Linked DNA regions of Pelodiscus sinensis. The main gene of each other region encodes a partner of the protein of the gene in region 3 in a complex. Links are inferred from orthologs where the notes say so. Each region holds a gene or a part of one and is shown on either strand. Other genes may lie near its edges.

Evidence for each region.
Region 1: MYBL1 (region 3) and LIN54 share a complex: the UniProt entries of both Homo sapiens proteins name them as parts of the DREAM complex. The link is inferred for Pelodiscus sinensis from reciprocal best matches to the Homo sapiens genes MYBL1 and LIN54.
Region 2: MYBL1 (region 3) and LIN52 share a complex: the UniProt entries of both Homo sapiens proteins name them as parts of the DREAM complex. The link is inferred for Pelodiscus sinensis from reciprocal best matches to the Homo sapiens genes MYBL1 and LIN52.
Region 4: MYBL1 (region 3) and LIN9 share a complex: the UniProt entries of both Homo sapiens proteins name them as parts of the DREAM complex. The link is inferred for Pelodiscus sinensis from reciprocal best matches to the Homo sapiens genes MYBL1 and LIN9.

The regions. Positions count from the first base shown.
Region 1 is NC_134715.1:11,686,393-11,694,282, forward strand, and holds the start of LIN54 (protein lin-54 homolog), read right to left. Parts: upstream 3,004-7,890; 5' UTR 2,871-3,003; intron 1-2,870. Other genes in the region: COPS4 (COP9 signalosome complex subunit 4), read left to right, coding at 5,787-5,860, 6,824-6,903. UniProt on the Homo sapiens protein: Component of the DREAM complex, a multiprotein complex that can both act as a transcription activator or repressor depending on the context. In G0 phase, the complex binds to more than 800 promoters and is required for repression of E2F target genes.
Region 2 is NC_134714.1:44,998,790-45,005,673, forward strand, and holds the start of LIN52 (protein lin-52 homolog), read right to left. Parts: upstream 3,011-6,884; 5' UTR 2,900-3,010; coding exon 2,881-2,899; intron 2,442-2,880; coding exon 2,367-2,441; intron 1-2,366. Other genes in the region: ALDH6A1 (methylmalonate-semialdehyde/malonate-semialdehyde dehydrogenase [acylating], mitochondrial), read left to right, coding at 3,263-3,316, 4,105-4,161.
Region 3 is NC_134712.1:58,192,414-58,199,845, reverse strand, and holds the start of MYBL1 (myb-related protein A), read right to left. Parts: upstream 3,021-7,432; 5' UTR 2,612-3,020; coding exon 2,592-2,611; intron 1-2,591. UniProt on the Homo sapiens protein: Transcription factor that specifically recognizes the sequence 5'-YAAC[GT]G-3'.
Region 4 is NC_134713.1:157,381,675-157,388,635, forward strand, and holds the start of LIN9 (protein lin-9 homolog), read right to left. Parts: upstream 3,010-6,961; 5' UTR 2,756-3,009; coding exon 2,677-2,755; intron 1-2,676. UniProt on the Homo sapiens protein: Acts as a tumor suppressor. Inhibits DNA synthesis. Its ability to inhibit oncogenic transformation is mediated through its association with RB1. Plays a role in the expression of genes required for the G1/S transition.

The DNA.
Region 1 (7,890 bases), on a different chromosome or scaffold from region 3:
GATACCAACCCAAAAGTGAAATTCTAGATGATTGTATCGAAGTAACAAGACACTGACCATTCTGACACTAGGCTACTGCACTACGTTTTTTCCATTCAACACTTCTAAAACAGTCACATGGCCATTTTGTAAAATGTATCAGAAAACAGCAATCTTAAGAAAAACATAAATATTTGCTGTATTAAAATATTTGTTAGTTAAAGCACAAAAGTATGAAAATAAAAACAAAAAAATAAATTACTCTCCAGCCAAGAATTCTAGGATCTCACATAAAGATTCTTCAAACAATTAGTCATCAACATACAAGATCCTTCAAAGTTAGAGTTTAAGCCCAGAGGGAACTACCAGATCACTTTGTCTGACCTCCTGTATATCACAGGACACCCACACACAAAACCAAGCAAACTAAATTAGACCAAAATATTACAGCCTATAGGAAACTAGAAGGTTGGTCTGAACTACAGAGTTAGTCAGCATAAAGCAGCTTACATAGATCTCACTTTGTAAGTGTCTACACTCCAACGTTGCTCCTGACGATGCATGTCACCCATTACTCCAGGAGGCATAGAGCTTGCATTGATGCATTCAGGGCAACAGTCCTGTGTAGACACTGCATTATTTACATTGCCTGGTGGCGCTCAGTCCTAGGGATGGGGGTTTCAGCTGACCACCAACAGAACCATAGACATGATTCACCACAGTAAATATCAAGGTTGCTGTATTTTGACTTAACTTTGTAAAAGGTCTCAGAATAATAGGGACTTGAGGTGTGGCACCAATGTTTAAGGCAACTGCAATGGCAGGGAACTGATTAAATGAGATATACTCTGATAATTGGGAGAAATGGCCTGCACCTCATATTGCAAGCACAAAGTAAAAAACCGTAAGGTCACTGGAAATCTGACTCAGAGGAAAATTCCTTCCCAACCAACAAATGGTGATCACTTAGACATTAGGGATGTAAATACCCAATTAAAAAGTTAACCAGTGCTACATTATGTAATTTTAATTGGTTAAATTGTCAGTCATGGAGGGGGTGGGGGAATTGTGCAGAGCTGCTGGCATCTCTAGCCTGGCTTCTTGCCTGCTGGCCTACTGTACCACAGGGCTGCTCCAGCCAGCTGGACCCACCATGGTTTAACTGGTTACCAGGTAAGCATGCTGGTAAGGCTAAGTTTAACCAGTTAAAACTTTTACATCCCAATGAGACAGTGCAAATGAGGTGACACTGGTACTGTTGCATCTGATTTCAGTTGGCCTGTATTTTCTTTTTGGGGACATGGAGGGGAGACGGCCAAAAGTCAAACATTTGGCCCTGAACTCCTTAAAAAAAGTTACAACTCACACAAAACAAAAATGCTCTCAATACTTAGGACAGGGGTAGGGAACCTTTTTTGGGTTGAGGGCCACTGACCCACAGAAAAAATCAGTTGAGGGCCACACACAAAAAACCCTCAGACTAAGAGAAAGACACTCCACACATTCTCCACGCCTGGGGGGCCCAGCCTAATATATTTTGTGTGCTGCCCCACCATGGGGCAGGGAGCTGGAGCTAGAGCGCCAGCACAAGATCCCTCATGCAAGGGGGGGTCTGAGCCTTGGGGTTGGATTCGGGCAAGCTGTGGATCTGAGGTTCCCCATCCCTGACTTAGAAGCTGTCATACCTCAAAAATGGGACACCCTTCTCCCCCCAAACACCAAACAAAGAGGCAGCTTACAAAGGAAAAGAAATATCCTCAGAACTTCAACAGAGTCAGAGAACCTCCTCTCTTCTTTAGATATGTGGGAGGATTCATCAGGTATACAAGTCACACATGAGCCCACTGCATTTACCTATGTGATTTTCAGTTATAAATTTGACCTAATTGTAGCTGTATCTTTAAAAAAAACAAAAAAACACTAGATTCATCTTCCAATATAGCATTGATATTAGTTCTACTATTCTCAATTTTGCAAAACACTACCATAATAAAGCTGACAATTTCGACATGTGGCATGCCATTTTGTACTGCAGAGATGCACATCAAGATGAACTTTTGTAATGATTCATCACACTCTATATACTGCCCTATATCTAAACATCCTTATTTATATAATGAGGCAGGCAGGGGAAGCGAAAATACTAGGCACGTTTATTTTGATTTTTTTCCCCCAAGAGATTGCTAGAATGAGGGCCCAAACTGTAAGCCCTGCTTTTCTCTCCTTTTGATCTTTGCTGAAAAAGAGCATGTCGCAGTGAGTCTCAGCTCTTGAGATCTTGAATTCCTTAACATTTTCTAGGGTTAAAGCCACATAAAGAAAGCTCCTCCTTACTATTCAATATATTACACAAATGACTTTAAAATGCCAACCCATTCGTCAGAACAGTCACACATAACCAATGATTTTATTTTTCACGCGCAGGGTCGGCTGTTTCCCTGGCTACTATGGACTGGCAGTGACAAAGGGACAAACAGTCAATACACCCACACACCGGGGCACAAGCCACAAAGGCCCACCCGCTGGCGGGGCACGGCCCCGGCGCCTGCATTGCCAAGGCAGCCGCGCAGACAGCTCAGGCCGGGGCTGCACCGGCCGGATCCCCGGTGCCCGAGGGGCGCAGCGCCAGGAGCGGCCGCGCAGGGCTGCGCCGTGGGCTGGCCGGGCCTGCGCCGCCCGCCCCGGGAGCTGCGCCCAGGCGGCGGCAGCGGGGACCGACTCCTGGCGCTGCAGCCGGGGTCCCCCTCCCCGGCCTGTCCCCGCAGCCAGGGAGCGGGTGGCCCCCAGGGATGGGGGGGGGCTGCACGGCGACGCGCTGGGCTCCCCCCTGACACCCCTTCCTGCTCCCTCCCTTCCCCCCACCCCGCTGGGCCCCCCGCGCTCACACTCACCGGGCTCGCGCTCCCCCCTCCCCCGGGCTCGCGCCGCGGCTGCCCCCTCCTCCTCCCCCTGGGCTCGCGCGCCGCTCTCAGCAGCGGCAGCACCAGGGACAGGTTCCGTGTTTGTTCAAAATCACGCGCCCAGCGCCATTCCACCGCCACATCCCATAATAATGCGCAGCGCCGCCTTGGCAACCGACATAGCGTCACCAAGCGAGCGCAGCTCCTCCCTCTCCCGCCCTTTGGGGCCGGCGCTTCCTTCCAGCCGTTTCCGGGTGCGTCATCGCATCCCGTTGGCTCGTGACCATGTCACGTGCCGCTGCACAGGCACGCAAGGGCTGGCAAGTGCGCAAGGTGAGAGGAGAAGCAGGGGTAGGTGGAGCCTTAAGGAGGAGCCCGGGTGTGCGTGTGTATGGTGCTGCGTGTGCAGCCTGCGTCTCCCACTGATCTGAAATGGTTGGGGAACAGCTGAGAGAGGCCTGGCGATAGTGATGCATTGGGTAAGCATTCCAGCCTCCTCTACTTGTAGCACCCTTCTGGGCACTGGATGCGTGCACTCTGCTATACTGCCCCATAGATAGAAACTGTTTAAGTCAAAACTTAAAACTAGAAGCACCTTAAAGACTAACAAAACATGTAGGTTGCATCTAGACTGGCATGATTTTGCAGAAATACTTTTAAAGGAAAAGTTTTTCTGTTAAAAGTATTTCAGCAAAAGCGCATCTAGATTGGCACGGATGCTTTTGCGCAAAAAGTGTTATTGCGCAAAAGCATCTGTGGCCAGTCTAGACGTGATTTTGCACAAGAAAGCCCCGATCGCCATTTTAGCTACTGGGGCTTTTTTGCGTAAAACAATTATTCCCTGTCTGCACTGGCCCTCTTGAGCAAGTATTCTTGCGCAGGGCTTTTTCCTGAGCAGGAGCATGAAAGTATTTGCGCGAGAAGCACTGATTTTGTACATTACAAAGTCAGTGCTCTTGCGCAAATTCAAGCAGCGTGTAGACAGCTGGCAAGTTTTTGTGCAAAAGTGGATGCTTTTATGCAAAATCTTGCCAGTCTAGACGCACCAATAGAGGGTGATATGAGCTTTCATGGGCAAAACCCACTTCTTCATATGACTGGAATATATCTGAAGAAGTGGGTTTTGTCACAGGAAGCTCATGATACCATCTACATGTTTTGTTAGTCTTTAAGATGCTACTAGACTATTTATTGTTTTTAAATTTTTTCCTGTTACAGACTAACTCAGCTATCCCTCTGAAGCTGCTTGGCTGTGTCTAGACTGGCCAGTTTTTCCGGAAAATCAGCCGCTTTTCTGGAAAAACTTGCCAGCTGTCTACACTGGCCACTTGAATTTCCGCAAAACCACTGATCTCATGTAAGATTGTCAGTGTTTTTGTCGAAATACTATGCTGCTCCCTTTCGGGCAAAAGTCCTTTTGCGCAAATCTTTTGTGCAAAAGGGCTGGTGTAGACGGCTCAGATTTGTTTTCGGCAAAAAAGCCCCGATCGCGAAAATGGCGATCGGGGCTTTTTTGCGGAAAAGCGCGTCTGGATTGGCACGGATGCTTTTCCGCAAAAAGTGCTTTTGCAGAAAAGTGTCCGTGGCAATCTAGACGCTCTGTTCCGAAAATGCTTTTAACGGAAAACTTTTCCGTTAAAAGCATTTCTGGAAAATCATGCCAGTCTAGACGTAGCCCTTAAGTCAAGACACTGAAAAACAGGCAGTGAGTGGTTCCAGTCTTGTTACATCTATAAAATGGGCTAACAAGTGACAGCTTCCTAAGCACTGGGCAAACCTTTCATGAAAGGTGATATGGAAGTGCAACATATGGCATTGCTTTTACCTTGAGCATACACCCTCTTGCAAGGGAAATGTATTCATTCTGTTTAGCTTCTGTACCATAGGTATCCTCCACTTATTTGTAGGGTATGAACAAACCAAGGGAATTTTCCTCACCTCTTAATTATTGGTTTTCTCTCCATTAAAACATTTATCTGCAGTGTTTGCAACTCAAATGTCAGTGTACAAAAAAATAAAAAAAAAAATTGATCTCAGTCTCTTTCCATGGTTCCAGCTGAAGCACAATCCTGAAGATAGCTGCCTGACATTTAAGTAAATAGAACACTCCTTTTGAAATATGAGCTGAGTCCACCTCTCCACTTATGAAAAGCAGCACTCTTGTATGTAGGTGCTATATTTGAAAATTTTAGTTTACATATCCGGACCTCAGTTATACACTGGTAAAATAGGAACAGTATAATTATTCATCTACTTTTAGATAAAACGCTATACACAGATTAGAAAAGGAAAATAAATACTGTAATGTCTGAAATCTTCTGATAACGTATGTACGACAGCCATGCTGTGTACACCACTGAAACACAGCCGACAAGCAACACAGTTCGGAAAGAAACAGAGCTACAAAATATTCCACTCATCAGGCTCTGGCCCTGCTTCCTTCTCTGACCCGAGAGACCGCATGGGAAGGAAAGAACTTATCATCCATCCCTCTCACTGGGGCATGAGATCCTGCATTTCCAGACCTGCCATCTGCACCAGCCAGGCGGGCAATACTGGGAATGACACCTTCCGGAGAAATAGCTCAGAGCGCCTCTCCTGGCCTTAGAGGGAGGAAGGGACTGAGGGTCCCCTCCCAGGTACAGAGTCTGCTTTCGTGTGGGGCCGGGTCAGTACGTCAACCCGCTGGCGGATCAGCCCTTCCGCATCCCAGGGAGGCAGCAACTGGCCAGCAGCGCTCGCGAGGAGGGAAGGACTCCGGGCTGGGAAGGCGTCACGTGACCCTTTTCTCAGGGGCAGGAGCCTTTCTAGCCGACGCTCCTCTATGATACAGCGGGGACGCGGCGGCGGCGGCTTCCCTCTCGTTGGCAGGGGGAGGACCGCGTCTGTCAGTTTGCGCGAGACAAGATGGCGGCCGCGGTGAGGCAGGAGCTGGCCCAGCTCATGAATTCCAGCGGCTCCCACAAGGACCTGGCGGGGAAGTGAGTGCGGGCCGGGCTGGGGGGAGGGGGCGCTCCCGGCTGAGGTGAAGGCGGTTGGCGGGTGCTTGAGGACTAGTCGGGGGTTGCAGGGTCCTGCTTCCTCCGCGAGCCGCGGCCCCTGTGCCTGGCAGGGCGGAGGCGCCCGGGTCTGTCTTGTCACTTCGTGAATGGCAGACGATTAACGGATAAAACGGATTAACGGAAAAACCTGCGCTTATTATTGGTCAATGCTGTCGACTGCACCTACCTACCCCGCCCCCCCCCTCCCCCGCTGCCTCGGGGCGGGGGGATTAACCAGACCCCCCCCCCCTCTCCATTTAATTTAACCAAGGGGCTGTAGATGCTGCAGGCTGGTGCTGAACTGTCCGTTTCAGAACAGTCGGTGTTCCCAGAGCCTTGGGCTTGAAAGACAAAAGAACCCATCTGATGCCCATTGTGTCTTTTTCTAGAGCCAGAGCAATTGTACGGAGAGAGGCGTCCGAGCTTTAAATTCCTTTTAAAAAATCACGTATTTTCTGCGCCGTTGGTATTATGCAGCAGGGTCTCTTGGGAAAAGCCCTAAAAAACACCACCAAACATATAGGCTGTGTCTACATTGGCACCCCTTTCCAGAAAAGGGATGCTAATGAGACACTTGGGAATTGCAAATCCACGGGGGATTTAAATATCCCCGGGGGATTTAAATATCCCCCGCGGCATTTGCATTTACATGGCTGCCGCTTTTTTCCGGCTCGGGGTTTTTGCCGGAGAAAAGCGCCACTGTAGACGCGATTCTCCGGAAAATAAGCCCTTTTCCGGAAGATCCCTTATTCCTACTTTCAAGCGTCTACACTGGCGCTTTTCTCCGGCAAAAACCCAGAGCCGGAAAAAAGCTGCAGCCATGTAAATGCAAATGCCACGGGGGATATTTAAATAAAAGGATATTAATTGTGATACATTTTTTAATTTTAAATCTATGGGCAGATATCGTCAGATACTGGAAAAAGCAATTCAACTGTCAGGAGTGGAACAACTAGAAGCCTTGAAAGCTTTTGTAGAAGCAAGTAAGTATGTATTTGTTGTGTTTATGCATTGTTGACTGAAGACTTGATGCATGTTGGATTACACATGCAGATAAATATAGTTCAGGCTATGTGAATTTTTGATGTGCTGTCCATATTCAATCTTGCATCTGCATCTGCTTGGAGCACCAATCATCAGTATGTTAAAATTAGAGTAACCAAGCAATTAAACAAATTAATTGCCAATAATTTTGTTGCTAAACAATAATAGTCTATCATTTATTTAAATATTTTAGATATTTTCTACATCTACAAATATATTTATTTCAATTATAATATAGAATACAAAGTGAACAGTACTCTCTTTATATTTTATTACAAATATTGCACCCTAAAATTAAAAGAAATAATATTTTTCAATTCACCTAATATAAGTAGTATAGAGCATTCTCTTTATCATAAAAGTTGAATTTACAAAAGTAGAATTAGATATAAAAAACTGCATTCAGAAATAAAACAATGTAGGCTTTAGTGTTTTACAAGTCCATTCAGTCCTGCTGTTCAGCCAGTTGCTCAGACAGTGTTACCTGAAAAATGAGAACAATTGTTCACATGCACTGTTGAATTACACTGCAAAGTTTCTTCTGTCCCTTCATGCTTCAACCACCATTCCAGAGGACATGTGTTCATGTTGATGATGAGTTCTGCTCGATAACATTCCAAACCAGAGCAGACCGACATATGTTCATTTTCATCATCATTTTCACCACCAGCAAAAGGATGGATTTTCTTTTTTGGTGGTTCAGGTTCTGTAGTTTCCATATCAGTGTTACTCTTTTAAGACTTCTGAAAGAATGCTCCTTACCTCATACCTGTCAGATTTTAGAAGGTGCTTCAGATTCTTTAAACCTTGGGTTGAGTCCTATATAGCGATGTTAAATTTTGATTACCAGCTAATTGAGTAGTCAATAGAATTTCCATCAACCTTGCAATGCTGAGTACAAAAGTGCCATCCGAATGCCTGTTTTC
Region 2 (6,884 bases), on a different chromosome or scaffold from region 3:
CGGGGTGGGATGAGCCGGGGAGATTGGGGGGCCAGTGGAAGCAGGGCTGCCAGGAGGCATGAGGTTGGGGGTAGGGAGCTGGCCGGGGAAGATGGGGGTGGGAGGGAGAAGCGGCCGCCGGAAGCAGGGCTGGACGCAGGCAGCGGGGCTGGCCAAGGGAGATTGGGAAGAGAACTGGCTGTCCAGGAGGGGGTTGGGGGAAGTGGGGCTGGCCAGAGGCGGGGGGAGAGAGTGAATCGGCCGGCAGGGAGCGGGACTGACTTGGCCATATGCAGGTCTCGGGGCGCTGCTCCCCTTCTCCCCACCCCCACAAAGCACGAGTGAGTCTGGCCCGGGGATTCTATTGTGCCCCCCCACAACACACACCCTCGAGTAGTTGCGAACTGTCTGGCTGGTAGACACACTCATGCAGCCTGAGCACATTTACCAGCTAGGCAGTTCGAAACTACAAACTGATACATCTAATAATAATAAAACTTACCTAATGAGAAAAGACGAGACATGTTATATGTCTGGTATTTTCTCAGTTTGTTTTTTATGGGTTTATATTTTTGGGCTGCAAAAAACAGTACTAAAAAAAAGGGTTCGAACTAAAGTAAAAAGATTGGGAAACCCTGGCATAGATACACAGATCATGGGCAATTTGCCTGAATGCAATCCTGTCAGACGCCCTAACCCACAGCTCTTGAGCCGCATGCAGCTCTTTGCTTAAAGAAATGCGGCTCTTGCTAGTTCTGAGCTGTGCGCCTGGACTGCTCGCAGCCAGCTGCTCTGTGCATGCGTCCCAGTGTCTGGAGGGAGAAGCGTGTGGCGACAGCGGCTCTGGGACCCAGGCATTGGGTTAGAGTGGGGGGTGCCTGGCTCTGGGGGAGGGAAGGGGATTGGGTTAGAGCAGGGGAGAGCTGGGGGTGCCTGGCTCTGGGAGAAAGCATTGGGTTAAAGCAGGGAGGGCTGACGGTGCCTGGCTTATCTTCATGGATGCAGAATAAAGGCAGCCAACACAGATGTCATATTTAAATTCCAGGGCAAAAAAGAATCAGCATACACTTAGTTTACACTGTGTTCCTTAAAAGAAAATTCAAAGGCTATTGTTCGCCAGGTTGAACCAATTATTCTGAGATATGTGTCTCTGCCTTATTGTTTTTGAACCTCTCATATTTGCAGTCTGGGACAGACCTGAATTTTTAGAAGTAAAAAAACTGAGGAAACCATACCAGAGGTCAGAAGTTGGAGTGAAACAGACACTTCAAATTGTGCTAATTTATTTCTCAGTTCAGTTTAATTAAAAAAAAAATCACAGGACATACTAGGGCAGTAATGTTAAATTTAAAATACATGGTAGGGATGCTTTTCTTTTAGTGTGAGAATATTGCTGTGTTTTTAAAAAAAAAATTTTTTTAATTTGATGTTTGCTCCTTGTCAAGTTCTCAGAAGATCTATGGACTGGAGATTAATTTTTTAAAGTGACTAGTGACTTTTTTATTGATTTTTGTCTGAAGTGTCCTGTAATGTTATTTTTAATCACTATATTTTGTGTACTATAGCTATCTATCTATCTAGATATATAAAAATAAATATCCACAGATATTTTGGCTCTTTGTCCCTAACTGGTTGGCCACTCCTGCCCTAAGCAGATAGTTTGATAGCCATGCTGATATTTTTTCATATGCTACATTGATCAGAATTATTGTACAAATGCCAATCAAACTGGGAATTAAGCTTCCTAGCTGCAGTAGAGTTAGATAAAATCTCCAGTCACATGTACTATAGGAAATGTTGCCTCACTACATTAAATATTAGTCACTAACTCATCTACTGCAGTTTCTTGAATACTGCAGGAGTAACAAAAATTCAGAATGCTCTTTGGAAGATTTTCCCTGCTTATTTGCCATGGAAGTGTCCATTGCAGATCAGCTTAGTTTATTAGTCAGTAGTTTACACAGAGGTACTGGAAGAGTTCCTATCAAGCCTCACTTCTTATATTTTCACCACCTAGCCAAGGAGTGCAGATCACCGTAGTTTAAATGCATAGGTGAAGGGAACAAAACCTGAGAAGCACCCGCATCAGAATGTTATGGAGAACATCCTAATCTACTAGGGCTCAAACTGGATACCATCTCCAGTAACATTTACATGGGCAATCAGATGAAACTTACAGTTGCCAACTGCCACTCCCCACACCATCAAACCATAACTCCATGGTACACACACCCATCCCAGGTTGCGGGGGCCTGGAGGTCGCAGTGCACTCCAGTGACCCAGGGGTCTTTCCCCTTCTCACCAGGGCACTGGATACTCTCGTTTCCTTTCACATGAAGGACCAATCCACCTCATCAAGCCCTGGAGGAGAATCAGGGTTGACTTACGCTGCTCCGGCCACAGGTCTGGGGATGCTCGGTCCAGCTTCTCAAAGCTCAGCAAGGAGGCTTCCAGATCTGTCCCTGGAAGGAGTCAGTCAGTGAGTCAGTCAGACAGACAAACACCGCTCCCGCCCCGAAGCCGGACATGTCACACGCAGGCTCAGCGACACCCCAGACGCCATGGCCACGGGCTGTGGCTAGAGGGTGCCCTCGCAAGGCTCAACCGCGGCGCCTCACACAGGCGACAAGCAGCTCCAGTCCGGGGACGTGCCCCGACGACAGGGCTGCCCGGTGCCCGTTCTCCAGCGCCGGGCGGGGCCGCCTGGTCGGGCCGGTCTCCAGACCCTTCCCCCCGGCTCCGAGTCGCCGGCGGGGAGGGGGCTGGCGCAGGGTAACGACACATCACGCTCAAGACGCGACCCAGGAACCGGGCGGGCTGGGCCGATACCCAGAAGCCGCCGCAGCTCAGCTCCGCGCGCAAGGCAGATCCGGTCCAAGTCCTGGTGCTTCCACTTCTTACCTTCCGTGGGAGCCGCCATCTTGCCCAAGTCACGTGACGGGCAACCGCCGCCCGCGGGAATTCGTACACGTGACTCCCTCTAGCACCGCCCACACACGCGGCGCTTGCGTTCCTCCCCTAGGAGGCGTGTCCAACCCTGACTTTCCATCCATGGCCGCCTTCAATTCCCGTAGCCAATCACCGCCCTGGAATGGTGGGCGGTTCCCCTAGGGGCGGGGTTAGGCGATTGCGGCTCTCTATTGGCCGAGTCGAGCGCCACAGCCCCTCCTGGGTAGAGCGGAGACTAGGGCGTTGTCTAAGCGGCCAATGGCAGTGCGGGGGCGGGACCTGAGGGCCCGTGAGGGTCTGTCCTGCGGGGGCCGGGGGACTCTCTGCAGGCGGGATGGTGGCGCTGGCAGGTCGCGGGGCCCAGGCTGGGCAGCGGCTCCTGTGCAGGGTGAGGCCGGGCGCCCGCTGTACGGCGGGGGTGTCGAGCAGCCCCCGGCCCGGGGCGAGGTGCGGGAGCCCTGCTGTAGCTCCAGCGGCTGGGCTCACGCCTCCCCTGTGCCGGACAGTCCCCCGGGCTATCGGCCTTGTGGCCGCCGGACGAGTGTTTCTCGCGGTTCCTCTGGGCTCCGCCTGGCTGCCAGCAAGACCCGAGGCCGCCGCTCCAGCGGGCAGGCGGGCCGAGGTGCTGGGATAGGTTTTCTCCGGGGGTGACAGCAGGGGTTGGCAGCGAGGTTCCCGGGCATGACTGGGGAGAGCTGGGCGGGGTCTCAGCTGGGATCTGCACGCGTCTGGCCTCACTGTTCCGTGCCACTGACGGCTGCCCCGAGGCGAGCTGTCGGACGGTGCTTGGAAGGCTGCACCCTTGAAACGGTTTAGGTTAAAACCGATAAACTAGGAGGAATTTTCCAGCGCTTTCAAATACGATCTGGCAAGGCTCACCTGAACCCAGTTCGTGCTTTGGGTCCTTGCCATTGATTCCGTTAGCACGTGTTCAGTCCCCTAGCCTGATATGGGGTATGATTGAGACCCCCTTCCCACAGCATCTTACCGTGCAACCAGTGGTATTTGTGGCTGCCCCTTTGCTCCCTCAGGCTATAGTTGACTCATGGACGTTGGGGATCAGATCCCAGGCTCTCTCCACAACCATAGCGTCTGCACGGGTTTAACCTCTGCAGGATTTGCCTCCTGTGTGTCTAACAGCATTGATCTCTGTGTGTCTGCCTTTCTTTCATGTAGATCCTAGGAAAAGTCAGTCCCACCTGGTATTCATCCTTTTCCTCCTCTTACTCAGTGGTGAGTTCATTCTTGTTCCTGTTGACAAGCTTTACCAAAGGGGAGACATGGGAAGTTCAAAGGGCCCTGGATGCAGGGGAGGAGGAGGAGGAGATGCAGATGGTGACTATCTTATTAGCCAGCTATGCACACTTGTATGGCAGGAGCTGCACCCCCGTACTATCACTTGCATAACTTAGCATGCCCAGTACCTGTCTAATCTGGTGTTAAACTAAATCAGACTTTGCAGTTGCATTGCCAAAGGAGGGGGTTGGTATTTGGAAGAAAATGTATTTGCTGAATTAGCTTTAGATAACTTAGCCCAGTTAGTAAGAGCAGGGCATGAAACAATTTCATGTTAGGCCTCTAGATAGGGCTGGCTAAAGTTCTGGGAAGTCTATAACTGCTACTGGGGCAGGTGGATTGTTGGACTCCTTTCCTCATGCAATGAAACACTTCCTTCACATCTTTTTAAAAAGTCACTTCCAGGGCTTAAATTCTCAGAGACTATTTCACAGAGCTGACCACCATTTAGGACACAGCTGCCAAATGAAGCACGTCTCAGGGAGAGGAGAGGGTGTTCTCAGGGCTTCTATAGGTTTGAAAATATTTACCGGAGCTCTGTTCTGGGTGGCTCCAGGTGAATCTGGGGTTCAGTGAAGGGAGGGAGGAGAGTCCTAAAGCCTTTCTAAATAAGGATGTAAGTGAGTAGTGAAGTCAGGTATTTGACTACTCACTCTCCCTTCCATGTCACTGCCTCTGTATTGGTGGCAGCAAGGAGGGGTGGGCAGGAGCCGGTGCTGGTGGGAGCCACCTTAAAAGCCAGTTCCCTCCAGCACTGTCTCTGTGGTGCCATGCTCTAGAAATCTCTGTCTTGTACTGCACAGCCCTTTCCTGGACAATACGAGCTTGGATAATAATAGAAATAAGTACACTTGCTGTCCCAAGTGGAGTTTCCCAAACACTTCAAATACACTGGATCAAAGGGAATGATTTTTGTATGCTTTTAAGCGTGAAGCATACGAGTCAGAATTTAATACAAGAAAAATAAAATAAAAACGTTACAGGCAACGACTGCCTAACTTTGCCATTATGGCAGCAGTTCGCAAACTGTCATTCAGAACCACAGAATGGGCTATGATCAAGTTTTAATTGGGTCTGCAAAGGCTGGCATTGGATTTGCTGTGGACCAGGACCAAAGACTGATTTTGATGACTTTGACTTTGGCCCTGAGTGGTGGGGTTCAGGTTACAGGTCTGCTGAGGCCTTGGGCTTTAGCCTACCCACCCAGGGTGTTGGGGCTTGAGGTTTTCCCCACTTTCCTGACAGCCAGGGCAGCAGGTCTCAGGTGGGCTCAGGCTTTGGCCTCCTCTCCTGGGGCCATGCAGTAATATTTTATTGTTGGAAGAAGGTTACAATGCAATGAGGTTTTGGAACCCCTGAACTAAGGTAAATTCAAAGCAAAGCAGTAACGATGGGTGACAGGGGAAGGAGGAAGACACTGACCACGTGCTCCCTGCTTCCGCCCAAGGAAGGACCAGGACAACTCCCTTCTGCTCCAGGCCCTGTCTCTCCTTGCCCCTTTGTTTCAGCCCAGGGGACTGGTGGGGCCAGGGGTCTGTGCTGCACTCTTCCTACACATGGATTGGGTGGCTCCAGCTTGTGCAATGCTGTTCTATTCAATATTTTGTTTTCTTGTCATTATTCATTGTGGCCTATTTACTGCACAATATTCAGACCTTGTGTTGAAAATAGAATTATTTCTTTACTCAAAATTTTTATCTACATCTCCAAAAATAAGTTGCAGACATATGCATTCACATTTATAAATGTAGATACTTGCAGATATAAAGCAGAGCTCTATCTACATATAGGCTTATAGTTATATAGAGCTAAGTAGTCTTGAAAAAAAATCAGCTTTTAGGCATCTCAAATTAGGCAACCAAAATTAGTAAATGTTTTTGACCCAAGTCTCCTTGCCTCAGTTTCCCTATCTGTAAAATGGGGATAATAAAACTACTACCTCACCGGGGTTATGTGAAGATACAAAACATTAATGAGTTATTTAGAACCCTACACAACTGCAGACATCCACATGCGCAGATGTGGTTTTTTTTGTAGATGGAGATGCGGATACAAGTGTTGTATAGAGCCTTGCACAAATGCGTGTGAAAAGTTTGCTTTAAGTGACTTACCTAGTATCACTTAGGAACTCTGTGGCAGAGACAGCATTCATTTGTTTTAAGCATGAGTCAGTCCTTCTCTTCCTGCATTCCCCTACCCCACTCAGTACAAGTCGTCCAACTTCTGCCACAAATAAGGCAGGGGCCCTATGGACAGAAGTCCCCTTTCATACCTCGCCTGGATTCAACAGAATAGGTCCATTTTGTCCAGTGAATGAAGCAAGGAGTTTGTGAGATGAGGGGGAAAAATGTGAATATGTAATTGAAGACTGTAGCATAATGCTGATACACAAGGGGCTGGATTAAAGTTGCAGAGTTATTCTTAACTTTAATTCCCAATTTTTGATTGCTTAGCTTTGCAACTTAAATTTTCTTTTAATGTAGTTTTTTTGTGTGTAATTGCCTAGCTCTTAAAAAAGCAAACTGGGGGGCAGGGGGAATTCCATTGTGGCATCCAAGTGATACCCACATGGGTTATTAGTTGGGTTGATACTGTGGTGTTATATGCATATCCCATCACAGGAGTGAAGATATTCAGGGGTGTGGATGCCACCTGATTGG
Region 3 (7,432 bases):
TTTAGTGACAGCAGCTGAATCTGGAGCCAGTTCCTACTTACATACAAATTCAACTTAAGAACAAACCTATAGTCCCTATCTTGTACGTAACCCAGGGACTGCCTGTATATACCAACACTTTCTTTTTGTTCTGCTGTAACCAGAATGTACCAAATGAGCTCATCGTCTATGCACACCTATTTTAATAATCTAGCAAGAAATGTGAATTCTTCACAGCTCAATATTCATTGACAGCAATATTGGCACTTCCAGAAAGACTAGTAAGTCTTCCTTAGCTCCTGACTCCAGAAAGACAAGGTAATATGAGGTCATAACTTTTAATGGACCAACTTGTATTGGTTAAAGAGAGATGCTCCAGATGGCATTCTGGGTGCAATATGTAGCTGGAATGTCTCATGTTACCTACATTAAGGTAGCTGATCCTCTCTAGTTTCCAAACAACGAGTAGTCACTAAGGTGCCACAGGCCTAACAAACATATACAATACATAAATAAAATAAATACACACACACACACACACACATTATACACACACATATTTGTTAACTTTTGTTACACACTAGAAATGTTAAATTTAGATTAATTGGCCCAGGGCTACACTTCAAAGGCGAAAGAGCTGCAAGGAGCACAGGGGACTAAAGCAGTCCCCTGCTGGCCTCAGGCCACCTGCAGCATTTCAAAGTGGCAGCATCACATGGAGGCCGGGGTCAGCTGGGGACTCAGAGTGTCCAGCTGTCCCCAGGGTCCATGCAGCACTGCTGCTCTTAAACGCTGTATGCAGAGCAGGACCAGGTGGGAACTCAAGCTGTACATGGTATTTCAAAGCGGCAGACCCCAGGCTCCATGCAGTGCTGCTACCTTGAAACACTGTATGCAGCCGGGCCAGCAGGGGACTCCCCAGCAGCATGCGGCGTTTTAACGGCACTGCCACTTCGAAGTACTCCTCCCCCACACTGCCTCTTTCTGAGAGGCAGCAAGGGAGGGGAAGTGACCAGTCAACTAGTCCAGTGTTTCTCAACCTTTTTTTTTTTTTTAAGTATCTTTAAAAAAAATAATTATAAGTATCCCCAATACCTATAGTTTTCAGACTTACACATTTTTTTCCCCATTGCGACACATTTGTTTAAACAGCTTAGTTGTAGCCGGGCAGGCGATGAAATTTTTGGCTGTAAAAAGCACAAAAATAATAAAGTGCTGTAAAACTTAAAACAAAAATTCAGTTTTCTCCAAATTTCAGTTGTGTTGACATACTCCCCAAACTTGTCTCAAGTACCCCTAAGGGTACTCATACCTCTAGTTGAGAAACACTGGACTAGTGTATCAACTATCCAATAAGCTTTTGCTTATCGGATAATAGACTAGTCATTCACATCCCTATTTACATACATATATAATTGTGAGCTTTCTTGGGCAAAACCCAGTTCTCCAAATGAGATTTTCTTGTTCCCCTTGAAACAACTGAACAATTACAAGGAAAACATATTACTTTCCTTCCTGTGGTTTTCCCACAAGAACTATGAATTTATAGTATATTTGTAATAAACCTGATCTCCTCTGGAAGAAAAATACAGAAGAAATTCTGATGTACCAACCACAAAACTACAATTTCTTCACTCCCATGAACAATATGCATACACAGCAGTCTCCAAATAATAGAGATGGTCAAAACCTAATAGCTTTCATAACTAATATTGACCATTTACCCTGCTCTTCCTTTATCAATCTCATAAACCCCTTTCTACAAAAATCCACAACTAGAAAGACAGAAGACAGTAGTAACTAAATTACTAAGTGTAGTTTCCTAAAAATCCAGATTTTTAGTATAAATGAGACACACAAGCTCCTGCAAAATAGAAGATAAATCTGCAACAGCTCAATGTTTGCAGCTGAATAAGCACTTTCACTCACAGATTTCCCAGCTACAGGAAAGAATCACATATACCTTCCCCCCCCCCCCCCCATCAATGGATGTACCAGGACTAAAAACACAGTCTTTAAAAAAATAAGAATTAGTGAAGTCAAAGTATTAAAACCACGTGGTTGGTCAGAGAGGTAAAGGACCAGAAAGTTAGAAGAAAGGGAAAACTGGCAAGAACTACTGTGTAGGAAGAAACTAGTAGCCCAGGGGAAAGAGAAGACGAGGTTACTCTTATGTCTGTAGTACGGAGCGACATGGAAAAGACATGGGTGCAGCAACTCCGGTGAGATGCAACACACAGGGAAGATGGAGAAGTCGGGGAACACCGGTGTTGCGACAGGTGGGTGACAGGACTTAGGGGGGATGATGGGGCCGGGATCTAGCTCTGGGCATGCAGCGTTGGGGAGGGACTGGACAATGACAGTGGAGCACGAGGAAGGGCGGCCGGACAGGAGGAGAGCCTGAGCCTCTGGCGTGGAGAGAAAGACGAAGCGGGATGTGGGGGTGTAGCACAGCTGAGAGCGAAGCCGGGGGAGGGTCCCAAAGAGGGAAAGGGGACAGAGACCCTGCAGGCGAAGGGAACAGCGCTGCGATCGGAGCAGGGATCCGGGACGAAGGCGCGGAGATACCCGAGCCAGGACAGGCGGGCCGGCCGGCCGGGGGCGTTACTCACCTGCGCGGTCTCTTCGCCATCCTCGAGGCGCAGCATAGAAGGAGGCGGAGACGGACTGGGGACGGCGCTGCGCGGCTCCCTGCCCGGGCTCCTCACACTGCCCCGGGGAGTCTGTGGCGGCCGTGGGGCCCGCCCCGTCACACAGCAGAAAAGGGGGCGGCTGCCTCTACCGCTCCCGGACACTCCAGCGCGTCCACCTCACTTAGCCCCGGCCTGGCCCGGCGCCCCGCACACAGATCATGGCCCGGCCCGGCTGCGGAGACAGGATCGGGGGCTGCGGACGCTTCTTGCCCAGTTCCGAGGCCCCTGTTCCCAGCTGCGTCCCCCGTTGGCCCGGCCTCCTCTGCCGCTGCGCTGCCGTCACAGGTTTTGTCCGTGCCGCCGAATCTCGCGCCCAGCCTCCTTCCAGAGCCACCGTTTGAATCTGCGCACGCGGACTGCAACCCCATTGGCTGAGGCAGCCGCACGCGATCGAGGCGGGGCACCGCGCCAGAGGGAGAAAGGGTGCGACCAGTAGGGATGAAGGGGGCGGGGCATAGAGCCAGACGGGGGCGGACCCGGAGCAGTAGGGATGAAGGGGGCAGGACATAGCGCGCTGCATCCTGGGAGAGCGAGTTTTTCTTCCCGCCAAGCCTGACGGTGTTCAACAGTGGCAGCTTGTAAGAAGCCCCACGGGCTCTGCTACGTGCTGCTGCCGCTCTTGCTTCCCAGCCCAAGGCCTTATTCTCCCCCTTCAATGTGCCTGTGCGAGGCGTCCTGAGTGAGCAGATCACTTGGAATCCGGACTCACCTATTACTGACTAAGGACAAAATGCAGGCGAACAGCCCACAGTCTGCAGGGGGAGGGAAACACATCTCGCCTAGTGCAAATGTTACCGATACAGAGATTTCTCACATTCGGCATAGAGTATAATTACAAAATCATGTCTCCTTCGAGCCGGAATCGAACCAGCGACCTAAGGATTCCCGCAGCTCCTCTACAGTCCTCCGCTCTACCAGCTGAGCTATCGAAGGGACTTCCTGGATGTTCTTGTTTCCTTTCTACATAGTCTCCTTTTCATGACTCATCCAATGTACTTTGACTTAATTTGTAATTAAAGAGCTGTCAGTATGGAATAGCAAAAAATATAGTGAGAGCAGCTTTTGTACCAAAACAAATGGAGAGAGAAATGGAGCTTTGGAGAGGCCAAATGTTCACTATTAATGCAATACAGTCCTAGGCAGACTTAAAAAAAAAAAATTTCTATAAAAACAAGTATTTGCCTTCCTCCCATGTATCTCTCTATAAAAAAGATTTTCCTGAGGGATGACAGAGTCATGTCATCATGTCACTCTGCATCCTGCAGCCCTTTCCTTCCTCTTTCCCTTTATCTCCCTAGTGTTCTGTGGCCAGGGGGAAGAGCCCTGGGCACATGTGGCCTTTCCCCCTCACACAGGGGACTGGAGCCAGAGCCACACAGCCTTCCCCCCTCGTGGGGGGAAAGCGAAGCAGCCTTCCCCCTTGTAGCAGGAGGGGGCCAGAGCCACGTGGACTTCCCCTGTCACCGTGGAGACCCAGAGCTGCCACCTGTGTATCTTTCCCCCCTGGTGGGATGGGACTGGGAGCCACATGCCCTCTCCCCTCACGGGAGGATGCCAGTTAGCCAGCTATGGCCTCAACCTAGCCCAGTCCCTCAGCAACTGGAGGGAGAAAGCCACGCCAACCACTGCCAGTGGCAGCCAGAGAGAGAGAGCCAGGCCAGCCTTGGCCCGGCCTAACCCTCGGGCGGCTGGAGTGAGAGAACTGGGCCAGCCTCAGCCCAGCCCCCCGACAGCCAGAGGAAGAGACTCAGACCAGTTGCAGCCTCAGCCTGATCCGGGTTCCCTGTGGCCGAAGGGAGAAAGCCAGGCTAGGTGCAGCTTAGGCCTGGCCCAGCCCCATGGCAGCCAGGGGTGGGGGAAAGCTAGAGCTGCCAACCCTCAGAGAGGGGAGTTGGCAAGCATAGCAAGCAGGGGGCACTGCCCCTTAGTATTTGCCTAACATTACAATACAGTCTGATATGATGTATAATCTGAGACTTGGTCTACATCACAAATGTATATTGGTATAACTATGCCCACCTAGATGAGTGACACATTAGTACTAACTTGGCCCCTGCTATAGGCAAAAATAGTTTATGGGAGGGCTTCTCCCATTAACATGGCTCTTTGGGAATTAGAGTACCTACAACAAGGGGCAATGCTCTGTTATCAGTGTAGATAGCTTCACTAACCACTACAGCAGCACAGATGCAATTGCAGCACAGTGAGTATAGACAAGCCTAAGGAATAACTTTCTCCCTTACTCCCCAGAAAAATGATTAGGAGTAAGGAAAAGAGGAAGATAAGCTTCCTCAATTATAAGGTTTTTTGTTTTGGGGAAGGGAGGTTAATTATGAAAGTCAAACTGATATTATCTTTTGCCTTTTATTCAAATCAAACACCAATAATAGGTGTTCAACCTAGTCTAAAAATAAGCAACTTTTCTACCACATTTCCTCCCCCCTTACAACCTAAGCAAAATCTACTATATATTTAAGAGAGCTTGTGTGGGAGTGCCTGTCCATGCATTCATGTTTGTTCAAGAACTCCTCCTGAACGGTAAAAGCTAGGACTACCAAATTTGATATGCAACCTTCTCTTATTCTAATTTAAAGAAAGGTCAGTGTTTGGTTATGCTAGGAATAATGGGAAGTGCCTGGAATCCGATTGTTTCTCATCAAATGGAAAGAGAGGGCTCTGATAACAGGGTCAGTTATACGTCACAATGACCACAGGGAGCAAAAAGTGCCCCAGTCCTGGGGAGCAGATGCCAGCAGAGCAGCACAGCAGCCTTGGGCTGGCCCCAGGGAGCAGCCATCAGCCAGCCAGTGCAACTCTCACCACTACAGGCCAGTGCCAGCATGGTCTTTGCCACTCCAGACCAGCCCCAGGGAGCAGCCACTGACTGCCGGTATCCACTACCCTGAGTCACCCACTCCCTGCCCTGACTCCTGCACCCTCCACCCTCAGCTTTCAACCCCCATACCTTCCAATCCCCTGCCCTGACTCCTACATCCCCACACCATGCCCTGCGCCCCCAATACCTCCTAAAACCCCTGCCTTGACTCCTGTATCTGCCACTTTTCTGTCCTGACCCCATCGCTCCTTGCCCTGAACCTCTCCCCCCCCCACACACACACCTCCCAATCCCTTGTCCTGACTCCTGCACTCCCCATTCCCTGCCCTGAGCCACTCCTCACCCCCAGTCCTGACTCCTACACCACCCACACACCTCCAGCACCCTGCCCTGAAGTACCTGAACAATGCCGGGTAAAAAGCTAGTAGTCTATAAAAACCTGAAGAGGAAATGACTAGACATTAAAAACAAACCAGAGGGTATGTCTAGACTACAGGGTTTTGTCGACAGAAGTTTTGTCGACAGTATCTGTGGACAAAACTTCTGTCGACAAAGAGCGTCTAGACACATTCAGTTCTGTCGACAAAGCAAGCTGCTTTGTCGACAAAACCCTGTAGTCTAGACACAACCCTACATGCAATAACACCTTCTGTCAACAGAACTCTGTCGACAGAAGGTGTTATGCCTCATAAAATGAGGTTTACCAGTGTCGACAAAACTGCTGAGTTCTGTCGACGTTATGTCGACAGAACTCAGCAGTAGTGTAGACGCAGGTATAGTTTTGTCGACAAAAGTCCACTTTTGTCGACAAAACTCTGTAGTCTAGACACACCCTAATTTATCATTATTGTCTACACTGAGAAAAGTGAAAGTACAGTAAAATCTCAGAGTTACGAACAATCTCCATTTGTGAGGTGTTAGTAACTCTGAAATATTTAAAAGCTTCAGAGAGGTAGCCAAGTTAGTCTGTACAGGATAAACTTAAAAAACAACAAATAGGTTTTTTTAGCACTTTATAGACTAACAAAACATGTAGATGGTATCATGAGTTTTCGTGAGCTCAGCCCACTTCTTCAGATGACCAGAGTGGTTTAGTGTACTATATTTGCTTTGTTTATTTTTTGTCCATGCTGCTGCCTGATTGTTTACTTCCAGTTCTAAATTAGGTGTGTGTTGGCTGGTCAGTTTGTAACTCTGGTGTTCATAACTATGAGGTTCTACTGTAGTAGAAAGTATATAAAGGATCAAATTCTAAAGATTGTTTCACTTAATAAACAGATTCACTTCTATCACATAGATAAGGATTTTACAAATATTTTAGATGATGATGTCTCTAAACACTTTATCCTGTAGAACCGTGGTTCTAACTGTGGCCCACTGACCACTAGTGGTCCGTGGCCACCTTGCAGGTGATCTGCATCTCAAGCTCAGCCCCTCCTTCCTCCCTCCCTCTCTTTCCCCACAGCAGGGAGCCCGCGCTGGCTTCCTGCCAGAGAGGGAGGAAGAAAGCCCCAAACCACTCAGAAGGAAGGGTCCACCTCACAGGGAAGAAGCGGTGCCAGAAGCAGCTCTGTGTGCTGCTGTTCCCCCTCCCCCACCTGAGAACAGCAATTCACAGACACGCTGCCTTGATGCTTTCCCCACTACTCCCATTGTCCGGAATCCAGCCAGTGGGAGCAGCGAAAGGCCATGCCTGAGACACTGTGCCTGGGACAGACATGGGACATGAAAGCAAGTAAGTGCCTCCGCTTTTCCCTCATGGCCAGACCCTGCACTCCCACCCCCTCTCACACACCTCCACCAAGATGTCACATCCCCAGCCCACTCCTGCATCCTCCCCTTTTGGCCAGACACCCTCTGCTCTTGCACCTTCCCCCTTGGCTGGACACCCTACACCCAGCCCTTCACTTTTTGTTACAGTGGA
Region 4 (6,961 bases), on a different chromosome or scaffold from region 3:
GCATATCAGATAGTCGATTAGTTGCTTACATCCCTAATGCCATCCTTACAAAGGTGAGCAGCAGCATTCAAATGCCTTGACCTTGTGATCCTCAGCTCAGAACTTTAATATTTCAGATACTGGAGTAATTACCAAATGGCAGAGGAGTGTGATTTATATTAGTTAGAAATAGGATAAGCAAAGTTGGAAAAGTCAATCAGGAAGGTATGTGGTGTAGCAGATAATGACTTAAGTTTGCCAAGTTGGAGGTGTGTGTTCCATTCCTGACTGCCTATAGTAACCTTCATAAGATGTATCTTTTCAGATAGGGGAACTAGACTTTGAACAGCATATTAAAGGTGAGATTATATATTTTTACAGTTGCCTAATATTTTTATATTGTTTTCTATCCCATGGGTTCTCAATCTGAAGGTCACGAACATCCATCTTTTCTTCTGGCTTAAAGGGAGGAGGGTCCCATACTTTTTCTGTTGTAACAAAAGACCCCAGTAAGGGAAAGACTGAAAATCATTGCTCTACCTTTGTAATCCAATCTAAGTTTTTGCTTATTTAGTTGAGCATCAAGCAGTTTATCAGGCTGTTCTAAATGAAACCATTTAGGTTTTTCCTTGTTATTGTTACAGTTCATTTAGAATCCATTAGTTCAAATGGTTATTTTGAATGTACATTCCTTGTACTTGTGACAATCAGCTAGCTTGTTGCCCAATGCTTCTTTGCCATTGCTATTCTCCCAGACTACGTCTACATTGGCAAGATTTTGCACAAATACTTTTAATGAAAGTTTTTCCGTTAAAGTATTTGCGCAAGAGAGCGTCTACATTGGCATGTGCTTTTGCGCAAGAGATGTGCTTTTGTGCAAAAGCATCCATGCCAGTGTAGACGCTCTCTTGCGCAAGAAAACTCCGATGGCCATTTTAGCAATTGGGCTTCCTTGTGCAAGAAATTCATGTTGCCTGTCTACACTGGCCTCTTGCGCAAGAACACTTGTGCAAGAGGGCTTATTCCTGAGTGGGAGCGTCATAGTTCTTGCACAAGAAGCACTGATTTCTTACATTAGAACATCAGTGTTCTTGCATAAGAACTCCTCGTCAGTGTAGACAGGCAGCATGTTTTTGTGCAGCAAAATCATGCCAATGTAGACACAGCCCAACTGCTTTCTGCTTCTGATATAAAGAATTTCTTGTTTATATATTTGATTTGCATTTCAAATTCTCACATAGCCCTCAGTTTAAATTTTATACTTCATGTGCTCTATCATATGCTCCTTTTTAATGGATAAACTTTGTAGAGACTTAATATGTTTTAGCTGGAATAAACTATTGTGTATTTTAAATTAGCCCTATCATTTTTTTCTGTGCCTTGCTGCGTTAGTGTTAATTTGTACATTTATGTATGGTATGCATGTCTATATAGCTTGCATTACTCCTACGAAAGAGTAATGCAATGAATGAATGAATCTATTTTTCTGTATCTGTAGTTTTGTTTGGCCACAGTATGTATCTGCAGCAGTGCTGTAACCACATTGGGCCCAGGATATAGAGAGACAGGATGGGAAGAGGAAGGTAATACCGTTCATTTTCATTGATTTGAAACACAAGATTTTGAGCTAACATGGCAGTCTTCTGCACAGTAACAGAGCTCTTCTTTCCAACACAAGTTAGTACAATAAAATATATTATCTAAGTGACATTACCTCCCATACACATGATCTACTCAGTCAGACTTGCTGGGTATCAACCTTCTTGTACGTTCATTTATGTGTCTGCATACAGTGCATGCTTGTGTCTTTGTATATAGACTGTGGGTCTTCATAGCACCTTTATTGTGTTTAGTTTGCATCTATCCCCTAGATCCAGTGTCTGTTCCCGAGTAGCATGTGTATCCTCATTCTTGGATGCCCCTGGATGCAATTTGCATGTCTCAATGACCTCCATTTCTCTGGTGCCTCTGTCAGACAGCATTTAGAGTATGTTTGTGTGTCCACCCCCGAAATTCCCTGGAGCATTTTAGTGTTCTCCACCCCCCAGCACAGTATGCATGTTATGTCCCACCCGTAAGCCTGCTCGGGGCGCAGGGCACTACCCTGTGTAACCCTCTCCCCCAGAGCATTAGTTCCTCCTCATGGACAGGGCACAGCACTAACCTGTACCTCTCCCCCCTGTATTAATGGCACGTCCTATGCAGGGCACTCCCTGTGCCCGCTTTCCCCTGCGCTGCAATGTTTGAGGGCCCACCCGCAGTGCAGCGCACCCCCATGCGCCGGGGCAGGATCGGTGCTCGCAGCTGTACGGCGCCTCCCTATCTCTGTTGACAGGCAGCGCCCTGGCCCGAGTGCGGGCCCGTCCCTGGCCCGGGTGCGGCCGTGGCCCCGGCCTGTCAGGCTGCGCCGAACTCGGGGTGCAAGTCCCCTCCCGGCGCCACCCGCCGTGGGGAACCCGCGGGTCTCCGGGCCCGGCTCCGGGGCGGCCCCTCCGCCTGCGCGGGGTAGGGGGTGGCGGGACGTGGGGGGGGGCGGCTCCAGAGGAAGAGGAGGAGACTCGGGTCCGGCCCCGCGCAGCGCCCGCCGCGGCCAGGCCGGACGCGGGGAAGGCAGCCCGGCGGGGGACGAGCTGGTCCCCGACGCTGCGGGGCGCCGCGGGCAGGGGGCGCCGGCCGGGGGCGCGGGGCGCTACTCACTCTCGTCGGGCAGCTGATCCAGCTCCGCCATCTTGAACGAGCCGCGCCGCTTTTTCAAAGGCTGCCTGGCGCGGTGCATTGTGGGGAGGGGTCTGGGCCGTGCGCGAGGCGGCGCTGGCGAACCCGGCTCGCGCTGCTGCCGCCGCCCGGGCTGCTCGAACGCTGCGAGGAGCGCTCGTGCTGCTGGCCGGGATGCAGCAGCGGCGGAGGCGGCGCGCGGGGACACAAAAGGGCTGGGAGGGGCTCGAGGAGCAGCGGAGACAGCTACGGCAGCCCCGGGGGGCTCCTGCTTCCCGGCAGCGAGCAGCGGTCTCAGCCTGAGCGCGCCACCGCAACTGCAGGGCTCCTCTCAGCCCGCGGTATTTGCATGCACCGTCCTTCTCCCTCGCTTCGCAATTTGCTGGGGTCTGTGCCTCACCCCCGCGCGCCGTTTGCTGTAGAGGGAGGCTACCTGGGAGCAGGAGCCGGTTTTCATACTGTTCCCGCAAAGGAGCCACTGTGCTGACCATCCTACTTGTGCTCTAGCTTTGTAAACAAGGAATTCTACCTCCTCTCCCAACTCCTCCCCCCCCCCCCAGCCTGGCCGCCTCCCCTTGGCTGAGGGAGCCGTTGCCGTGAGGCTGCCCACTGATGCAAAACACGCAATTGTTGGTGGTTTGCTCAATAATACCCTCAAGTGTCCTGCTCCGCGATGCAGCACTTCAGGCGCAACTGCATCGATTTCATAGAATACTGGAAAGGATCTGGCAAGGTCAAAAAGAAACATTTAATTGTCAGAAAGTGAGAGTAGCCATAAAGGAGCCCCTAAGGCAGTGGGTCTTAAACTTTTTGGCGATGGACCACCTGGCTTACTGCAAACCTTTTCATAGATCACCAGTTGCTAATGGAAACTCACTGTTAATTACATAATTACACCCAAGCCATTTTCGTAGTGCTGCAACTAGGGAGAACAGTTGTTTAAATTATTAAACAGATTAAGCATTTTAACTTTCTCATGTTAGTTTATCAAGCTTCATTTTACATAAAGTAACATTAATTTATGTCCAACACAAGAGGTTCCCATATTTTATTTATGGTAGCGGTGGGGAACCTTTTTTGGGTTAGGGGCCACTGACCCATAGAAAAATCAGTTAAGGGACCACACAGGAGAAGCAAAAAAACTCCAAAACCCCAACCCTCACTGATGTGACCCCCCAAATGAGACACCTCATTCTTCTGGACTCCAACCCCAAAGAGTGAAGGGGACAATGAGGACTAAGGTTTAGGATTTCCCATAGACCAGGTTTACTTTTCTGGGGTTCCAGAATTAGTGGATTTTGTGGACCCTCTTAGGCGCTGGGGTGGTGACAAAAATGAGGGCTGCCAGTGAGTGGGATAGGGATGCAGGATCTAGGCATGAGGAGGTGAGGAGGACAGGGTGCGGAAGGGAGTTCGGCAGCAGGAGAATGTGGGGGCTCGAGAGAGAGAGTTTGGAGATCGGTGGGGAAGTTATGCAGAAAAGGTGAGGGTGAGAATGCAGCCAACTAGCTGCTCAACAAAACCTTTGTGGCTGCTTAAGTGTGCTCCCATATACGGAAGGGAAATGAACACTGGTGTCTTTCTGGGTTATGATGGAGATTTGTGGTTCTTATGGCAATTATAAGACTCTGAAACTAAGTAAAAGAAGAACATTGATTCACTTTTATATGTAGATGCTGAAGTGGCTATTTATCTTAAAAATCCTAAGCCAACGAGTATTCAATATCATGGAGGGGAGAGATCTCCCTGGCTACGTCTAGACTGGCATTATTTTCCGCAAATGCTTTTCCGCAAATGCACTTTTTACGGAAAAGAGTCCGTGCCAATCTAGATGCGGTTTTGCGCAAGAAAGCCCCAATCGCCATTTTCGCGATCAGGACTTTTTTGCACAAAACAATACCGCGTTGTCTACACTGGCCCTCTTGCGCAAAAGCATTTGCACAAGAGGGCTTTTGCCCGAACGGGCGCAGCATAGTATTTCCACAAGAACACTGACAATCTTACATGAGATAGTCAGTGTTCTTGCGGAAATTCAAGCGGCCAGTGTAGACAGCTGGCAAGTTTTTCCACAAAAGCAGCTTGCCAGTCTAGACATGGCCCCTCAGTTTGACTTGTTTTCTGGCAATCCCAATGAAGTGTTGCCAGTAACTGAGGGGTTAAAACGGGCTGGAAAAGCAATGAGCCCCAGACAGACACAGCTCAGAGCCCTGGTGGAAATAACGAATGAAGGTCTGAGCTGCCAGCAGAAATATGCACTGGCATTAAAAGAAGATAGTCTGCTGGAGACCTGAAGGGGAGCAAATGTCCCAGATCTAATGCCAAGGGGTGCTATAAAATATTATTGAACAATGTACAGACCTGCCAGTTTTCCAGCAATGCCTGCAAATAGGCTGAAATTCTCATTCACACAGAATAAGGTGCAAAGATCATGCTGTGATGGAAGGGGAAGAGGGAGGCAAAGTGGAGAGCAAAGGAAAGTGCAGTTTCTGTAAAGGGAAATTATATCCCCCCCACGTCTTCCCTCTGCTCTAGCCTCACCCCCCTCAGCTCCTTGATCCCCACCCAGCCTGATCCCCTGCATCACCCCCCCCCCCCCGTGCAACCCCTGCCTCCTCTGAACCTTCCCCTACATCCTCCTTCACCCCATCCTGGCCCCACATCCCTGTGCCCCCAGCACACACAACAGCAGGGTAGCAGCACTGGGACTTGCAGCCCCCCAGGAGCAGCAGTGGGGCAAGGAGGGCTGGGGGAGGGGGGAACGGAGTCACTTCCCTGCCTGGCCCAGCCCTTTGTCCAGAGCTTGCCTCTCACCTGTAGGCTGCCACTCCAGGGGTGGGGTGGGGTGGGCAGAGCCTGGGGCTGGCTCCAGCCCAGCCAGGCAGAGCAGGGCACTGGAGGAGGGGTTCCCCACCCCCGCACACACCTCATGGGGAGCAGCTTGGTGCAGCCTAGGCTGGGCAGGGGCAGCCCCAGGGACACAGAGCTCAGCACAAGGTCATGTCGCCCACTCCACTTGCCAGGCTACTCTGACCCCTACGCCATGCAATGCCTGCACCTCCTTCATGCCCTTGCATTGTCCCAGTGGGAAGCCGGAGTTCATGCTTCAGCCTGCAGCTGCACAGTAACCACAAGATTTGAGCCACAATGTGGGCACCCTGCTGGGTGGGGATGGGGAGGCTGTGCTCAAGCCGCAGACTACCCGGGAGATGGCAGCAGACCCCTAACAGTCCACGGACTGCACTTTAAGAACCACTGCTCGCGGGACTACTATACACCTCTGCATTGACTCTGCATGCTGGTATTGATGTGTGTAAGTCTAGGACCTGGTCCCACCTTTTCTTGGGGGGTTCTGAAGAGCTTTAGCTATCCTTCTCACTTGCTCTTGAAACTGATGATAGTCATCTGGTGGGACGGGCAATGTTAAAGAAACAGCCACATCTAGGTACCCTAACGGGAAGTTCCTGAGGCCCCTTGGCACCACACTGGTGCATGCATTGTCTGATCCAGGTGCCAAGGGTAGACTGGATGAAGAATGAAGTGATAAAACAGTCTTCCCGTTCTAAGACCATTTCAAAGGCAATTAGTGAAGCTATAAGCTCTAATATGGCCAACTTGGTTGCTCTTGCTGCTGTAGTACAAGTACTAAAGAAACTGGAAAGCTCTGTAGTAATGTCTCCAAACTGGAAGTAGCGGATTACATCGTATCTGAATTCTCAGACTCAGCAGAACTGGGCGCTACACAGTGATGCTGACAGAGCTGTGGGAACAGAGTGCACTACCAGTAGATGGTAGATCTAATGCAGGAGATGGGGACCTCTGAGCAGGTGGTCACACAAGCTCACTTATTCCAAGGTAAACAGTTTGAGAGGTCTGGGAACACTTCCAAGTCTTCCAGGAGTCGGTGATACCCAGTCTATTGCCAGGACTGGAACCAGAAAAGTGTTAAAGCTCCAAACCAATGATTTATAGGATGCTGGTGAAGCTGAATCAGAAGGGTAACTTGGTTACATGAATGGTGTAACCTCTTGTTGCTCTTTTGAGCCTTGGAATATGCTCTTCGTCCATGGCTGGAACACATGGTTTCTTGGATTTGGAGGAAGACTTACTGCCCTGTTTATGCACAGTGCTTCCATGGCTCATGGATGGGCCCCAGTGTGGGGTCAGTAGAGCTGGACAGAGACTCTGTGGTAAGGGGAGAGGTCTCCAGTCAGGATTCTATTGTGACATGGCACAATGGCAACCCCCATGAGGTGTTTGTTGAGGCAGA